Linked DNA regions of Sus scrofa. The protein of the gene in region 2 interacts with the protein of the main gene of each other region in a biochemical or structural test. Links are inferred from orthologs where the notes say so. Each region holds a gene or a part of one and is shown on either strand. Other genes may lie near its edges.

What was found.
Region 1: the proteins of HDAC4 (region 2) and NACC1 form a complex in vitro, tested with the Homo sapiens proteins (2 studies listed by BioGRID). The link is inferred for Sus scrofa from reciprocal best matches to the Homo sapiens genes HDAC4 and NACC1.

What each region holds. Positions count from the first base shown.
Region 1 is NC_010444.4:65,923,315-65,931,285, forward strand, and holds part of NACC1 (nucleus accumbens-associated protein 1), read right to left. Parts: intron 2,752-7,971; 5' UTR 2,744-2,751; coding exon 1,780-2,743; intron 1,680-1,779; coding exon 1,506-1,679; intron 846-1,505; coding exon 740-845; intron 634-739; coding exon 536-633; intron 79-535; coding exon 1-78. UniProt on the Homo sapiens protein: Functions as a transcriptional repressor. Seems to function as a transcriptional corepressor in neuronal cells through recruitment of HDAC3 and HDAC4. Contributes to tumor progression, and tumor cell proliferation and survival.
Region 2 is NC_010457.5:138,431,812-138,439,782, forward strand, and holds part of HDAC4 (histone deacetylase 4), read right to left. Parts: intron 7,325-7,971; coding exon 7,212-7,324; intron 3,799-7,211; coding exon 3,682-3,798; intron 3,480-3,681; coding exon 3,284-3,479; intron 1-3,283. UniProt on the Homo sapiens protein: Responsible for the deacetylation of lysine residues on the N-terminal part of the core histones (H2A, H2B, H3 and H4).

The DNA.
Region 1 (7,971 bases), on a different chromosome or scaffold from region 2:
GGGCATTGGTGCACATGTCGGCTGCGATGGCGTTCATCTCGCTTTCCTTGAAGTTAGGGGCAAAGTTCTGGCAGTAGTCTGTACAGGCAGAATGGGTAGCTCAGGCTGAGCAGGGCCCTTACCTCCCAATTTGCAGACAGGCACTTGGCCCCGCTGCTCCTGAATGTCCCAAAGACATACACACACATACACATAGAGCATCCCCAAAGCCCTGGGAAGTGAGGGAACTGAGGCCTCGCAGACAGCTTGCTAAACCACATCGGCAGGCCCCAGGCCTGACCCAGCTTGGCCATATGTGGGGGATGTGTGGATTTGATGCACTTGAAAAATGTTCGTCATTTGCCAAAATTTAAAACCAGGGAGAGTCCACTTAATCTCTAAGCAATCCCAGCCCTCTTCCCAACCAGTCTATATTAAAGCTTAGAAGCCTTAACACCAAGCCCTACTTACCGATCCGTTAGGACCAACACCAGAGAAAAGGACCCAATGCCCGCCCTAGGCCCCCACCCCCACCTCCAGAAGGGTGGACACTCACACTTGACGGCATGGAGGACACGACTGTCCAGTGGCTTGCGGCTGGGGTTGTTACTGGAAGAGCGGATGCCGGTGCCACAGCTGTTGGCCAGTGTGTTCCTGGGCAGGGGAGCATGGGGTGGGGGAGTCAGGCCCCCTGTGGCCGTGGGGGCACGGGACGGCCCCACCTCACCCCCAATCCCTAGGGCTCTGGCGTGAGACTCACCGGTCAAAGAAGGAGGCCAGGAGGCGCCGCAGCAGGACCTTGTGCCGCGTGCCTGCGCTGACGTGGCAGTTCATGAGCTGCGCTCTTGTGATGTACACGTTGGTGCCTGGAGGGGGGGCGGGGAGCCAGAGGATGGCCAGGAAGCCCACTCGGCCAGGTGCTGGGCTGGGCCCAACCTAGACCCTCCTTCACAACTCAACCCAGAGTGGCCTCATCAATACTCAGGAAAGGATGGAGACTGTAGCACCACTGTCCATGGGGCACCCACCCTACCCGGCTCTTGCCCACGTAACACCAGTGTCAGAAAAAAACAGGCAACAGAGGCTCACATGACATCCTGACTTCAAGGGCCAAATTCAAACCCTGTGAAGCCTCTGACCTATCCCTACATGGCCAACAATGCTGGCCAACAATGCCAGCCAACACTTACACCAACCTCCGGGGTAGAAACCTAGAAGACAGTCTTGCATTTGTATCAATGCTAGGGGGTGTCACCTGCCCTAGGATGTAGGTAATGGGCAGCAGGGCTGGGGATGGACTTTTGAGTCTCTTGTTTTTGTTTTGTTTGAGGTTTTTGGGCTGCGCTGCTACATGTGGAAATTCCCAGGCCAGGAACTGAACCCACGCCACAGTAATGACAATGAGCCACAGCAGCGATGACATTGGGTCCTTAACTACTAGGTTGCCAGGGAACTCCCGGACCTTGGGTCTGGCTGCCTGAGGTGAGGGGCAGGGAGAATTCAGGGAGGGAGTGAGGCTGGCCCACCTGTCACCAGCTCCAGCTTCTCAGAAGGGTCGCCCTCGTCGTAGAGCTTGGGGTGGCAGCGGTTACCGATCTGGTTGATGAGCTCAGCGGGGAGAGATGCCAGGTCCTGCCGTACCCGGATGCGATTCCGGGACTCGGGGGCCACCTGCTCGGGGAGGGCCTCCACCTTCTCGGCTGGGGGGTAGGGGAAAGAGTGGTGTGTTGGGGATAGGGGCAGCAGAGGGAGAGGGGCCAGGCTGGGGTGGGGGGTTGCGGGGCCAGGCAGGTGCCTCACCGGTCTGGCCGACGTTCATCATGCTGTACATGGTGTACATATTGCAGATCTGCCGGTACTGCTCATCTGTGCCCTCCTCGCCCGCGTCCTCCTCCTCGTCCTCCTCATTGTGGTAGGAGCTGGGGCTGTCGCTGGTGTAGGCACTTGAGGTGCCTGGGCTGGTCCGCTCCGACGTGCTGGGCCCACTCACCACTGCCCCTGCTGCCGCCGCTGCCGCCACCGCTGCCGCTCCCCCAGTCGATTGCCCAGCTCCGGCCCCTGCAGCCACCCCAGTGGGCTGTGCAGCTGCCACCACCGGGGGCTGCTGGGGTGCCCGGTTGGCGGTCAGATCTGGCGTGGAAAACTTGGCCATCTTGCGGCTGCCGTTGCTACCACTGCCACCGCCCGCCTCCTTCTGGCCGCTGTCCCATAGCCGCTTGGCCACAGGCGTGCACTGCACAGAGTCCGACTCCTGCTGCTCTGTCTTGACTCGAGACACCAGGGGCAGCGGGGTACCGCAGGCCGGCCAGCTCGACGTCTGCGCCACGGGGCTCTGGGGCTCGGACGAGGGCGCCTCCTCGGCGTGCAGGCCCTGGGAGTCGCAGCTAGGGGAGCTCACCTTGAGGAAGAACTCTGTGCCCTTCTCCATGATCTCCTGTATCTGCAGGAAGCCAGCCGTGTACATGAGCAGGAACTGGTCACCCATGTTCATGCTCAGCCGGCCAGTGTAGCAGAAGCTGAGGATCTGCTGGAAGGACTGGGGCTGCACGGCCGCCGGCAGCTCCACCACAGCGCTCCGGCTGCTGTTGAACAGGTCCCGGAAGTAGGAGCTGCTGGCGGCCAGCACAGCCCGGTGGGCCTTGAAGGCGTGGCCCTTGACCACCACCGACACATCACAGTACAGGCCCTGCAGCCGCTGCTCGTTGAGGCACTCCAGAATGCTGTTGCCAAAGTTCGGGATCTCCATCTGCAGCGTCTGGGCCATGGCGGCGGCTGCGAAGGGGACATGGAGAGACAGAAGGACGAGGGTCAGGCAGCAGACTCAGCCCACTGCAGGGAGACACACGGGCGCTCGGACAGCCACATGGTGGAATTTGCATGACTATAAGGATCCCAGGAGCCAGCCACTCCTGTCCCAGCGTGGCCTTGCCTGTGACAGACTGTCAAATCAGCAGGGTGGCTGCCTGCTGTCCCTTGCAGAAGGAGGGCAAAGGCATTCTTATGCATATGTGGTTGAATAATACATGAGATGTCACAGTGAGCACCCCATGACTGTTAGCCATCACTAGCACTACACACATAGTGAAGGGCACTGACATAGGAACGCCAGGAAGGCAGAGTCATCGGATCTTATATGCTGCATTCTCAGTGCTGAGCACATGACCCTCAATCACCATTTGTTGAATGACAGAATGACAACTCAAAACCCCTGAAACTGTATGGGAACATCACTAGACATCGGGGAATCGCAAATCCAAACCACAATGGGACACCATTTCATACCCGCTAGGGTGGGCAGAATAAAAAAGATAAATAAGTGTTAGTGAGGATGAAATGAATGGAAACCCTCCTATGTTGCTGGTGGAAATGCAAAGTTGTACAGTTGCTGGGGAAAACGGTTCCTCAGATGTTTAAACATGAAGTTACCATATGACCCAGCAATTCCACTTCTAGGAATTATACCCCAGAAAGGCAAACATATATCCACACATATGCCTGTCCATGAATGTTTATACCAGCACCACCCACAACAGGCAAAAGGTGGAAAAAAACTAAACATCCATCAGCTGATGGATGCATAAACAAAATGTGGTGCATCTACAACAGAATACTATTCAGCCATAAAAAGGAACAAACTACTGACACATGCCACAACTTGAATAAACCTTAAAAAACATGTTAAATCCGGAGTTCCCGTCGTGGCGCAGTGGTTAACGAATCCGACTAGGAACCATGAGGTTGCGGGTTTGGTCCCTGGCCTTGCTCAGTGGGTTAACGATCCGGCATTGCCGTGAGCTGTGGTGTAGGTTGCAGACGCGGCTCGGATCCCGCGTTGCTGTGGCTCTGGCATAGGCTGGTGGCTACAGCTCCAATTCAACCCCTAGCCTGGGAACCTCCATATGCCGCGGGAGCGGCCCAAGAAATAGCAACAAAAACAACAAAAAGACAAAAGACAAAAAGACAAAAAAAAAAAAAAAAAAAACAACATGTTAAATCCAAGAAGCCAGACTGAAGGCCCACATATTACACAATCCCATGCTTATGAAATGGCCGGAATATGCAAAGCCATAGAGACAGCAGATTAGTGGCTGCTGGGGGCTGGGAGGATTGGGGGAGTGTGAGCAAATGGGTCAGGGTTTCTTCTTGCCCTAAAGAAAAATGTTCTGAAATTGTGGTGATGGATACACAACTCTGTGAATATGCTAAAAACTACTAAATCTGTACCCTTTAAATGGGTGAACTGCATGATATATGCATCTCCAGAAAGCTGCTCAAAGAAACTATAAGACTTATGTCCAATGTGCAGAATTTGGGATGAGACTTGCCACGTACATTCTTTTTTTTTTTTTTTTTTTTTGTCTTTTGTCTTTGTTATTGTTGTTGTTATTGTTGCTATTTCTTGGGCCGCTCCCGCGGCATATGGAGGTTCCCAGGCTAGGGGTTGAGTCAGAGCTGTAGCCACCGGCCTACGCCAGAGCCACAGCAACGCGGGATCCGAGCCGCGTCTGCAACCTACACCACAGCTCACGGCAATGCCGGATCGTTAACCCACTGAGCAAGGGCAGGGATCGAACCTGCAACCTCATGGTTCCTAGTCGGATTCGTTAACCACTGCGCCACGACGGGAACTCCGCCATGTATATTCTTAAGGTGTTTTAAATATTGAACCTGGTGAATGTATTGCCTATTTACAAAAATAAAAAGTATTGGGGTTCCCGTCGTGGTGTGGTGAAAATGAATCCAAGTAGGAACCATGAGGTTGCAGGTTCGATCCCTGGCCTCGCTCAGTGGGTTAGAGATCCGGCGTTGTTGTGAGCTGTGGTGTAGGCCGGAAGCTATAGCTCCAATCCAGCCCCTAGCCTGGGAACCTCCATATGCCATGGGTGCAGCCCTTAAATGACAAAAGCCAAAAAAGCATTTAATAAGAAATAAAGTGTGTGAAATAACTTTTTTTTTTTTTTTTTTTTTTTTTTTGCTTTTTAGGGCCGCACTCGCGGCACATGGAGGATTCCAGGCTAGGGATTGAATCAGAGCTATAGCTGCCAGCCACAGCCACAGCCACACAGGATCCAAGCTGCGTCTGTGACCTATACCACAGCTCACAGCAACACCAGATCCCCGACCTACTGAACAAGGCCAGGGATAGTACATGCACCCTCTTGGATACTAGTGGGAATGTTTCCACTGAGCCACATGGGGAACCCCAACACCACATTTACGCAAATTAACTTCAAAGTGCTTGAGGGGTGGGTAGAGAAAGAAATATGAATTTAAGGAACTGCCTGAGATCTTGACCTGTGAGGTACTACCTGGGGGGCCCTGGCACCTCTCAAAAGTGTGAACCTCTGCATCAGAACCTATTCCATCAGTGCACATTCCAGCCCAGGAGAAGAACTGGTCAGGGGAGACCAGCATGTCCCATGCTCTGGGGGTAATCATAAAAGGGCTATGCGGGAAGATGTGGCTTTACAAGCGCCCCTACTGGTAAAAGGGAGTCCCCTGCAATGTTACAGGTATAAAGGGCAGTGGACCTGCATGGGCAGGTAGGGGTGAGAAGAGAGGCCTGAGCAGAGAGTCAGGTGGGTGAGGAAAAAAGAGAAGAGTGTGCAAAGTCCCTGGGGCAGGAACTACCTAGAGCCCCCGCACTCCCACCCTGTCCTTCCAGGTTAGCTCTCGAGGATCTTCAGTTTTTTACTTTAACAAGTCCAACCTAAGCTGCCTCTGAGGGGTGAGCATGGGGGATGCAGTGGGGACCTGAGCCCTATCTGGGCTCATTCCGAAAGGGCTGCCAGGAGGAACAGAAGGGGCCAGGTGCTCATGGGCTGAGGTGCACTCAAGCCAGGGTGTCTCGGCTCCAGAACAGACTTGCTTTAGGGACCAGGAACTCCACATCTCTGCTTCTTCCCTTGGAAATTAACACTGTTAAGGCCAACCTGATTCTGCACACTCAACCCATACTCACTGAGCTGCTCCACGTGGGAGACCCTGAGGGAGACGCAGGCCCTATCCCTCCCAGCACCCAGGCTACCACAGGAGCTGACGCCTGACCTTAGTGAGCTCCCTGATTCTTCTCAGCAAGCCAATGGGGTTGATTTCCTACCCCTAAAACTCAGCTGGGAAAGCTGAGTCCATGCAGAAGCTAAGATCTGTCCTAAGGTTACACATAAGCGGTAGAGACAAGATTCAAAGCCAGATCTGTCTGACCAATGAAACCCAAGGTTTCCCTCAGCTGTACCCTCTTCCTCTTCATCAAAATCATTGTTACTGCTACGAAAAACAAAAAGGCAATCAGGAGGGGGAGGCAGTGACAGGGAAATCCTAGTTACAAGGCAGCATACAGCTCCCAGGAGCTGGGCCTCTGAGTGAGGAGGCAGGGGAAACTGAGGCATCAAGAGGCAAAGGACAGAGCCCTGACCCGCCTCCCCAGACTGCCAAACCAAAGCCCTTTGGGGTACTGGGGACCAAGTGACCAGGGCCAAGGCAGACAAGGAAGAGGCTGGTTGGCCTCTAGTCCCTGGAGGGGTGCTCTAGACCCGTGGCATGAGAGGTTCACAACCCCTAGGAAGTGGACCAAGGCAGGACAGGCATACAGCAGAGCTAGAGCCACACCCGCAGCATATGGTAGTTCCCAGGCTAGGGGTCGAATGGCAGCTATAGCTGCCTGCCTACACCACAGCCATAGCAATGTCTGCGATCTACACCATAGCTCAATACAATGCTGGATCCTTAACCCACTAAGCAAGGCCAGGATGAAACCCGTGTCCTCATGGATACTAGTTGGGTTTGTTACTGCTAAGCCATGACAGAGACTTCTAAACCTGGGTTCTGCTGCAACAGCCCCATCATCCTGAAGCTGTGTGACCTCAGGCCAGCCCCTCACCTCTCTGTGCCTCAGTCTGTTCATCTGTAAAATGGGGAGGTATTCACTCACCCCCACCCCACCCCAATGGACTGCAAGGTGCTGGGGACACAGCCCTGAAGAGGGCTGGCTATGCCTGTATGGAGCTCACTGCCCAGTGGGGAGACACAGAGGGTGATTTAATTTCAGGTGAGGTGACTGTGTCTCTGGAAGTCAGCACAGTGTGAGGGACAAGGAGGCCCTGGCCCAGTGAGGATGAACATTTGAGTGAACAATGGAGAGCCTGGAGCCCAGACCAGTTTTGGGAGAATTCCCACAGAGGGTTGTGACTGTCTCAGGAGTGAGCCTTTATGGGCAGACAGGGCATCGTTTTAAAAGCCACATATTCAGTTTTTGTTTTTGGCCACATACTCCTCCCAATTTGGCACATCAGCCTGCCCATCTTCTGGGATCCCCCTGATCCCCCAGGATGGGAGGGGAAGCCCCCAGCCCCACAGGAGACTTTTCCAGCAACACTACTCCTGGCCCTGGATGACAGTGGGTTTCCTGATGAGGTGCAAGGGCGCGACATACGGTTTCCATGGCCTCTCAACAGTCACTCAACAAATATTTGCCAAGCGCCTGCCTGGGGCAGGAAATGCCAGGAGCCTGGGGCGGGAAACAACTAATTCAGGCCTCCGGAGCCCAGACAGAGGCATCCTGGGTCACACAGATTAACAAGCTGTAGGTCCGGGCCTCTGACTTCACTCAGAAGATGGAACACTGGAGTTGAGATCTGGGGGCACAAGGTGGTGGAGGTGTGTGTGTGGGGGTGACCTCACCAGGCAGCAAGTGGGCTGGGAACCTCACCTTCCAGGCACAAGGAAGGTGTGCAGGACCTCGAGGGAGAAGCAAGCAAGGCCCGTCCAGAAAGTGAAAGGAGAGGCTGACTCTGGGCTGCATCTTTAGTTGGCTTCTCTCCTTCGGGGGATCATACCCACAGTCCCGGGGCTCTGCTTTGGATTGAAAGGTATGTTTCCCACCCCAATTCATATGTTGAAGGCCTAATCCCCAGTGTAGCTGTATTTGGAGATAGGATCCTACTTGAAGGTAATTAAGGCTAAATGGGATCATAAAGGTGGGGCCTGGATCCA
Region 2 (7,971 bases):
CTGAGAATCGACACGGGCAGGAGAGGATCTTGTTTGAATCTGAGTTTGAATCTTGTTTTAAAGAGCAACCGCCTCAGGCGGACAGCCTCCTTCAGCATCTTCCCTCCCGCCTCCCTTCCAGGCATCGGTCGTGTCTTTCAAACAAGTCGTTAGTTTGGAGAGTTTACTGCTGTCCCCTGGTTCCACCAGCAAAGGGGTAAGACAAGCCCTTTCAGCCCCCAAGCGTCTGTTCCTTGGCCACCGAAGGGGGAGAAACGCTAACGGCATCCCAGGCTGACAACGACCCCAGACCGGGGCGTCTGGCCGGGAGAAGCAACAGGTGCCCTGACCACGTCAGCTCTTGGCTGACCCGACACAGGCCACTGTGCTCCAGGGACGCGGGCGGATGGTGGAAGGGCCTGACGGGCGAGTGCCTGGGTCGGACACAGGGCTGCCCGGGTCGGGGGCCCTTTGGGGGGATCCTGGTCTGCTGCTGCCCCAGCTCTCCCCCTCATCCCATTCACCCCGGATGTCACTCCAGTGCCTGCAGAGTGTAAAGCCGTGGGGCCACCACACTCGGGACAAAGGTACCGATCAGCATGGCTGAGGACTGGACCTCTGACCTTCTGGCAGCAAACCGGGGGCTGGCCAGGGCGCTTCTGTGCCTAAGATGCCCCCATCATTACGAGGGTTTGGGATGATACCTCACAGTTGGCTGCTTTTCGGAACATACCGTAACATTTTTAAGCACGAGGGCTCAGTCGATTAGGATCGGACTCTGCCCTAGGTGCCCAGCTGCCTGCAGAGGCGGGCAGGGAGGTTGAATGGGGCTTCGCTCCTCCAGCCCGCAGCATGGGCAGAAGGCCCACCGGGCCCGGGAAAGGAGCCACGTTGACCGCAGAGCCCGTGCCAGGGCGCCCCCCGGGCACACACTCTGTTCCTCCTGGGGGATGGGCTGGGGGTGACGGGGCAGGGGCAGCCTCCCCGGGGTCCACGCTGGCACATGAGATGGTGTTTCTCCACCAGGCCAGCGGCGGACGTTTTACCGCTGCACTGGGTCCTGTCCAGATGCAGGAATCTGCCCGAGATGAGCAGCGCCTGCGTCCTGAGGTCTTACAAATCCACTGCCCTACCAGCCACGGCCAACATCTGTCAAGCATTTCAGGGGGGAATGAACCAAGCAGGACTTAGGTCTCAACTGGCAGAGCAGCACAACCTGGGTGCCTGGCTAGCATCCCAGGCTGCAAGCCCCATCTGGCCCAGTCAGTCAGCCTACTTGGGAGCTCTGGGATGGCCAGCTAGGTTCCCAGGAGGTGGCCACACTCGCAGCACATTGCTGAGTGGCCGGAAGCCTGGGTGACACAGCCACATCCGCCAGGCGCCCCCACCTGCCTCTCTCCTGGGCCCTTTATTCCACCTGTTCACCTGCGATTCCTACAAAAGTCTCAGGGAAGGTGCACGCCCCCAGGAAGCCTTCCCTGACTGCACCCTGCTGCAAGCCCAGCACCCAACCTTCTCCATGAGCCCCAACTGCAAAGCTCTCCGTGGGTCGGGGGAGTGGGGTGCCTGGCGAGTAGGAGACGCTGATCTGACAGCTCTGCTCGCCGGCCACGGGTGATGCACTGGGCAGGTGGCTGCCTGCTCAGGGTCGTGGCTTCCCTCCAGGCCAGGCTGCCCAGCAGAACCTTCTATGTGGAAGATACAATCCACATGCCTGGCCCACGTGTGTCCAGCCTGGGGAGGACTAGAGCGAGCAGCAAACACAGCTTCTTTCGGCCCTGAGCGTCCGGCCTGGGCCCGCTGCTTGGAGACTCGACCTGGGACCATTTCAGGGCCCCCTGCTCCTTTCAGGGGAAGATTCCAGTCTGTCGAGGGCGTCCCAGAGCTTCTGACACCGAGGATGCACAAGCCGCTCTGAGCAGGCGGCGCGTGGACCCAGGACCCCGCACCTTCCCCAGCAGGGACCCGCTGCCAGGCATTTGGGAAAGGACCTGGGTTCTAGCTCTGACACCGTCTGTCCACAGAGACCATCACCAACAGGCAGGGCTGTGGGCCGACCCCTCGGGAACCTCAGAGAACCCGCCAGAGCAAACCCGTGCTGAGTGACCCTCCCTGGCCCTGCTCAGACACCCCGCCTGGCACATGGTCCAGTCGCAGAGACATCTGTGCACCCACCACGCACCAACTGCTGCGTGGGGGGGAGGGAGGAGGTGGCCAGGGTGCAGACGAGACGGAGCATGAGAAGCTGCACTGCGGCAGCAGGACCAGGAGGAAGGCCGGGGCTCCTGGCGGGAGGTGGGTGCATGCAAGCCGGACCCAGTGCCGAGAGGGCTCTGAGAAGAGGGTGCTTCCAGAGGGCCCGTGTCGGCCCCCCGCCCAAGGGAGCCTCGTACCCTGTGTGGAGAGGAGGCACTGGGAGGCCGGGCAGGTGGCTGCCTGCTCAGGGCTGCAGCTTCCCTCCAGGCCAGGCTGCCCAGCAGAGCCTTCTGTGTGGAAGGTACGTTCCACGTGCCTACCGCCCCACGGCCGGCAGCCAAGGGAGCGTTTTCTAGGTCACACGTGGGCCTGAACCAATTTTCCCTGTGCTCTTAATTTGGAACTGAAATGTGAACGGCCACCCTGGATGGTGCTGCTCTGGACCCCGGAGGGCCCCTGAGTGGAGCTGGAGGACGCAGTGGGAGTGAAACTGCATGCAAGGGGCCTTCCCGCAAGAAAGACCCAGGATCAGGGTGGGGGTGGGGGCAGGGGGGTGGCCCGAGACCCCAGGAAGGACAGGCGGGGGCGGGGGAGGGACAGAGTGAGGTTGAAGGCCAAGCCCCGTAAAACTAAGAGCAACCACATGGACTGTAGGCACAGACGGCCGAGGAGGGCTCAGGGTCAGGGCTGCCCCGTGGCTACTCGGACTCGGTCAACCCCCAAAACCCGGGGGAGGCCGAGCACCACAGACGGGGCCTGGCCGTGGGATGGAGGCTTCCTCGCCTCCAGGGAGCCCATGGGCTCCATCACCGGAGTAATGCTTTTCCCTGCTGCGGGCCCTTCTAATACAACCGTCCCTTAGGGCGCATGTCAGGTGACTTCACTGAGAGAGACGGACCGCCCAGCAGAGCCGACTCGGCTGCATGGAGCGGCTGGCGCATCAGGGCGGCCGACCCGCTCGACTCCATGCACCTGCCACGCAGGTGGACGCGGTCTAAGGAGCCACCGCCTCGCGTGAGGGGGTGTGCACAGCAGTGCTGGGGGCCGTCTCACCAGCCCCCTTGAAGCCCACAACTGCCCACCCCAGCGGGGCCTGGAGGGCACTCACCTGTGACCAGGGGTGTCTGCGCGGCCGGCTGCTCCAGGAGGACCATGTGCTGCAGGAGAGGGTTGTGGGCCGTCCCCGCGTCCCGGTCCAGGGGAGCCGCGCTCAGGTAGGGGGAGAGGTGGGTGCCGGGGAAGAGGTGGATGCGCTGCTGGAGGGCGGGGAGGGTGAGCCTCTCGGCTTCCTGCTGGCCCGCCGCCTGGGGAGGCAGAGCGGGACGGGGGCCGTCAGGGCGACAACGTCCCCCACCCCCGCAGGCCCGTGGGCAAGCCGCTGGGCTTCCTGCTGGCCCACTGCCCCCTGGGGAGGCAGAATGGGATGGGGGGTGGGGGGAGCCAGGGGTGGGCCAGTGATAGCACCGCCCCCCCGCCAACCCCGCAGACCCGTGGGTGCCTACTTACCGTGGAAGGGCCGGTGGCGGGAAGCCCCAGCGTGATGTTGGGCAAAGACGGGGACGTGTAGAGGGGGAGGGGGCCCACGGAGCCTTCCCGAGTCACGAGCCTGTGAGCCAAGCTGGTCTGCGGACAGAGCACACGGCCGTCACACAGCCTGCAGGCCAGGCCTGCGGTCCCCTGAACAAAGCTGTCTTGACAAGTGACAGCAGCGAGACAGACGCGGCCGTCCACAGCATTAGAACCTGATTCACGATCCGTCACACTCTTGCTTGTTTTTAGTTAACTTGCTCATTCGCACTAAAGCTACCAGACTAAATCCAGGAGAGTATGTTTAAAAATATGTTCTGAGAGCTGGGAATGTCCTTCCAAACAAAACACGAGAGGTAGGAACGAGAGAGGAAAATGATGAATAAAAACAATCCCCTCACATAAAAGGCAAATAGTGCTGACGACAAGGCTGGCAATGGATAGTACAGACAGAGGCCAATATATAAAGAGCACACAGATCAAACAACAATTCATGAGGAAGGACAAAGAAGAACCAACATGGAGAAAAAACTCAGGAAAGAAAATTCAGCACCATCCTGTAATCTAAAGACCTATCAAAAAATCTAAAAATGTATTTTAAAATTGATCATGTTGGCAAAGGTTTTTTGAAAATGACGACAGCATCGTGATCGAGGGAGTTGGAAACACGCTGCCGGGTGGACGGTAAATGGGTGCCTTCCTTCTGCAGGACGATTCGGCGCTCCTTGTCAAAAGCCTTAAAACAGACCCAATCTTTGCTCCGAGACCCCTCCCCTCCACGCTGAGGGTGTCCTCTTAGGAAGTAAAGCTAGAGGAATTTGAGGATCTTATTTACCACGTGGGGCTAAGCAGCAGCCCCGAGGACCTGCACCACTGTGGCATTTCACATCGTCTTGCTTCTAGAAGGCATGTCCTTTGCTAAGAGGACACTGTCTCATTCACACCATCTCCTCCCCTCGGTAGGGACCAAGAGCACACAGTCACAACCACGAGCCGAGCAACAGCAGGTGGTGTGTGTGCCCTGACGTCGGCGGGGGGTCGCGGAAAGTCACCTTCGTGATGGACAGGTCACCAAGTCTCTCCTAGTTCTTCCCCCAAAGGATTTTTTAATTAAGGATGAGAAACACCTGGGTGCTCAAAAATTTCATTTGCAAGATAAAAATGTGCAGATGCGTGAGCTGAAAGGGATGACAGGTTCCCGTAAGCCATGACGGAAGGTCTACCGCGCAGCTAGAAAGCGCTCCCCCCCTGCCCCCCATCCCCGGGAAGGCAGACCCTTCCCCCGCCCCCGGCGGGGCGCAGGCATTCCCTGCCTTGCTGGGTGGCTCAACGGTGTCACACGCTGCACCTGATAAACTGTCCTCATGCCACCCCGGCAACGCAGGAAGGACCGTGTCCTCACTTGGGAGGAAGTTTAGCTGCAGGAAGGTGGCTGCAGCAAAGGCTTTAGGCTTTAGGTTTTTCACATAGTAACACAGTAATGATTCAAGGGCGCCTTAAAAAATGGCCTCTTTCCGGGTTAAAAACAAGCAGCAAGCTGTGCTTCAGAGGAAGCGGCTCAGAGTGCCAAGGAGGGCAGGAGGGCTCCGGACTGTGATGCCCAGGAACCAAAGCCACGGACATGCCAAGTCTGCAAAGCCATCACTTCCTCTTGCATCTCATTCACATCTAGAAATGGGAGTCCCCATCATGGCTCAGCGGTGAGCAAAGCCGACTAGCACCCACGAGGACATGGGTTCGATCCCTGGCCTCGCTCAGTGGGTTAAAGATCCCGCGTTGCCGTTAGCTGTGGATCATATGTGCTGTGGCTGCGGTGTAGGCGGGTGGCTGCAGCTCCAATTCGACCCCTAGCCTGGGAACCTCCATATGCCGTGGGTACGGCCCTAAAAAGACAAAAAGACCAAAAATAAAATAAAATAAAATAAATAAATGAAGCAGCCCTCTGCTTCATGGTCAGGTGCTGGCCGTGTCCATCGGCCCTACCACTCGCTCCCACTGGAAAGTCCAGGGCCAGGTCAGCGCCCACCACCAGCCTCCAAATCACACTTGGCTTTCTGCATGGAACGAAGCGCCCCCACGGAGGAGGCCATCCCTGGGTGGGGGAGCCCTGCTTCCTCTGGGGTGGAGGCGCTGAGCTTCCCTCGGTCCCGCAGTGAAAGGGGTGCAGGCAGCTCCGTGCCCCCCATCTCCGCAGGAGCAGCCTGGCTTCCTGGGCCCGGAGCTCTCACCAAACTGCCCAATCCTAACACGTCTCAAAATCCACAATCCAACTGAGATCAAATGTTCAGAGGCTGCCCCTGCGATTACAATGAAAAGCTCAGTGAAACACGGAAACCGCACTCTTCCCACCTCCTGGGATTCCTTTCGCATCTTCCATCAATTTGCAGGAGCTTAATTCACGTTAACATGGGATTTGTAAAAACTCACGCATAAGTTAAACCAGCATCCACCCGCATAAGCCCTCTCTACGTACGGGCCATTAGGTACCTAACAGCCCCTTTTAAGCAAAAGCAGGATCCATGACGGCCCTTGACAAGTCACAGCCGGCACGTCCATCTCGTTCAGGGAAGCAGTTTTTAGGCCAAGTTCTAAGGCAAATTACAGGTATGACCTCCGTCTTACAAACTGTAACCACCTCGAGGATTTTCGCAGGTGGGTTGAAATGCACGGTAACAAAAGGGACAGATGCACAGAGGAAACGAGGAAGAGGCGACGGGGGATCAAGCAGACTAGAGGAGGAGGCGCTTCGAGGAGTGACCCGAGGCCCTAAAACCCGCCTGGACGCCAGCCTCTAGAAACTGGCAGTGAAAAAGCCGTCACGTGTGTCTGCTTATCCCCCAGGACTCGGCAGCCCTCTGGGAGGGCGGGACTCGTCTCGAGGTATTGAGGAGAGAAAGTAAGATACTGCAGGCAATGACACGAGCTTCCTGGACGTCGGAAGGACGGAGGAAAAACCTCCCAAGAACCCCGCAGTCTGTAGGACCGTCCCCACAGGTAGCACAGGGCACCTACTGCTGGCTCAGTCCCGGGACACTCACTGTGCAGCCGGCTCCCCACGTGGCCCCCAGCCCCGGCCCATCCCAGGCTGCTGGGGAGCCGCGGGGAGGCAGGCCCTTGGCACGTGCCCCAGGACACTTGTGGGATGAGCCGAGGTTGAGTGAAGTGAGTAAAGAGAGAAACAGGCGCGTGGAGGGGAGGTTCTGGAAGCCAGGTCCGGTCACGGGCAGGACCTGCAGCCTGGCCGGCCCTCCACCTGGCCGGATCAGCCACCCATCCCCTCTCTCTGGAACTCTCTCGCCACCCATGTCCGGCTCAAGCTGCAGCACACCTGGGCTGCCAAGCAGAGGTGAGGGGCACACCCCACCCTGTGTCTGAGGCCTGGGGTCCCGAGAAGCTTCTGACATGCCGCCCCCAACACTGCAGATTGAAGGGCAGCTATAAACGGCTCTTTGGAGCCACGGCTGGGCCAGCCGGAATACCGGCCATGGACAGGGGCGCAGGGCACTGACCTCGGCCGGGACGCTGGGCACAGCGGGCGCGATGCCGTTCTCCGTGCTGACGCTCCCGGAGCTGTTGTTGGGCGAGCTGGGCGCGGAGCCCGGGGCGCTGCTGCACGCGGAGTCTGTGGGGAGAGACACTCGTGAGCCTGGCCCGGAGCAGGTCCCGGACACGAGACGTGCAAACAGGGACCCGAGCTGCGCGGGCCTCCTGAGGACTGGAGCTGGCGGCTGGCACAAGCCCCAACTCGAACAAGCAGGACCGCGTCCCCACATGGAGCTCATTCCCTGTTCTCAGCTTTGTCACCGACCTTCTCGTGAGCTTCGCAAACCTGTGGCTCCTGGAGGCCCTGCCTGAACCTCTATGCTCTGCACACGAGCGATGTTATTCTCCTTTTGAAAGGTTTCAAAATGATCTCTCTTTTTTTTGGTCTTTTTTGTCTGTTGAGGGCTGTACCCACGGTACACGCAAGTTCCCAGACTAGGGGTCGAATCAGAGTTGTAGCTGCCGGCCTACACCACAGCCACAGCAACTCGGGATCTAAGCCGAGTCTGCGACCTACACCACCGCTCACGGCAACACCCCGGATCCTTAACCCACCGAGCGAGGCCAGGGATTGAACCCGAGTCCTCGTGGGTGCTCGTCAGATTCGTTTCCATTAAAAGCCACGACGGGAACTCCCGCAAGAAGATCTTAAAACACCAAAGAATAAAGCCTGAGCACCTATTAACATTCTAACAACAAAAGGCAAGAAAACACGGAAGCCAAACA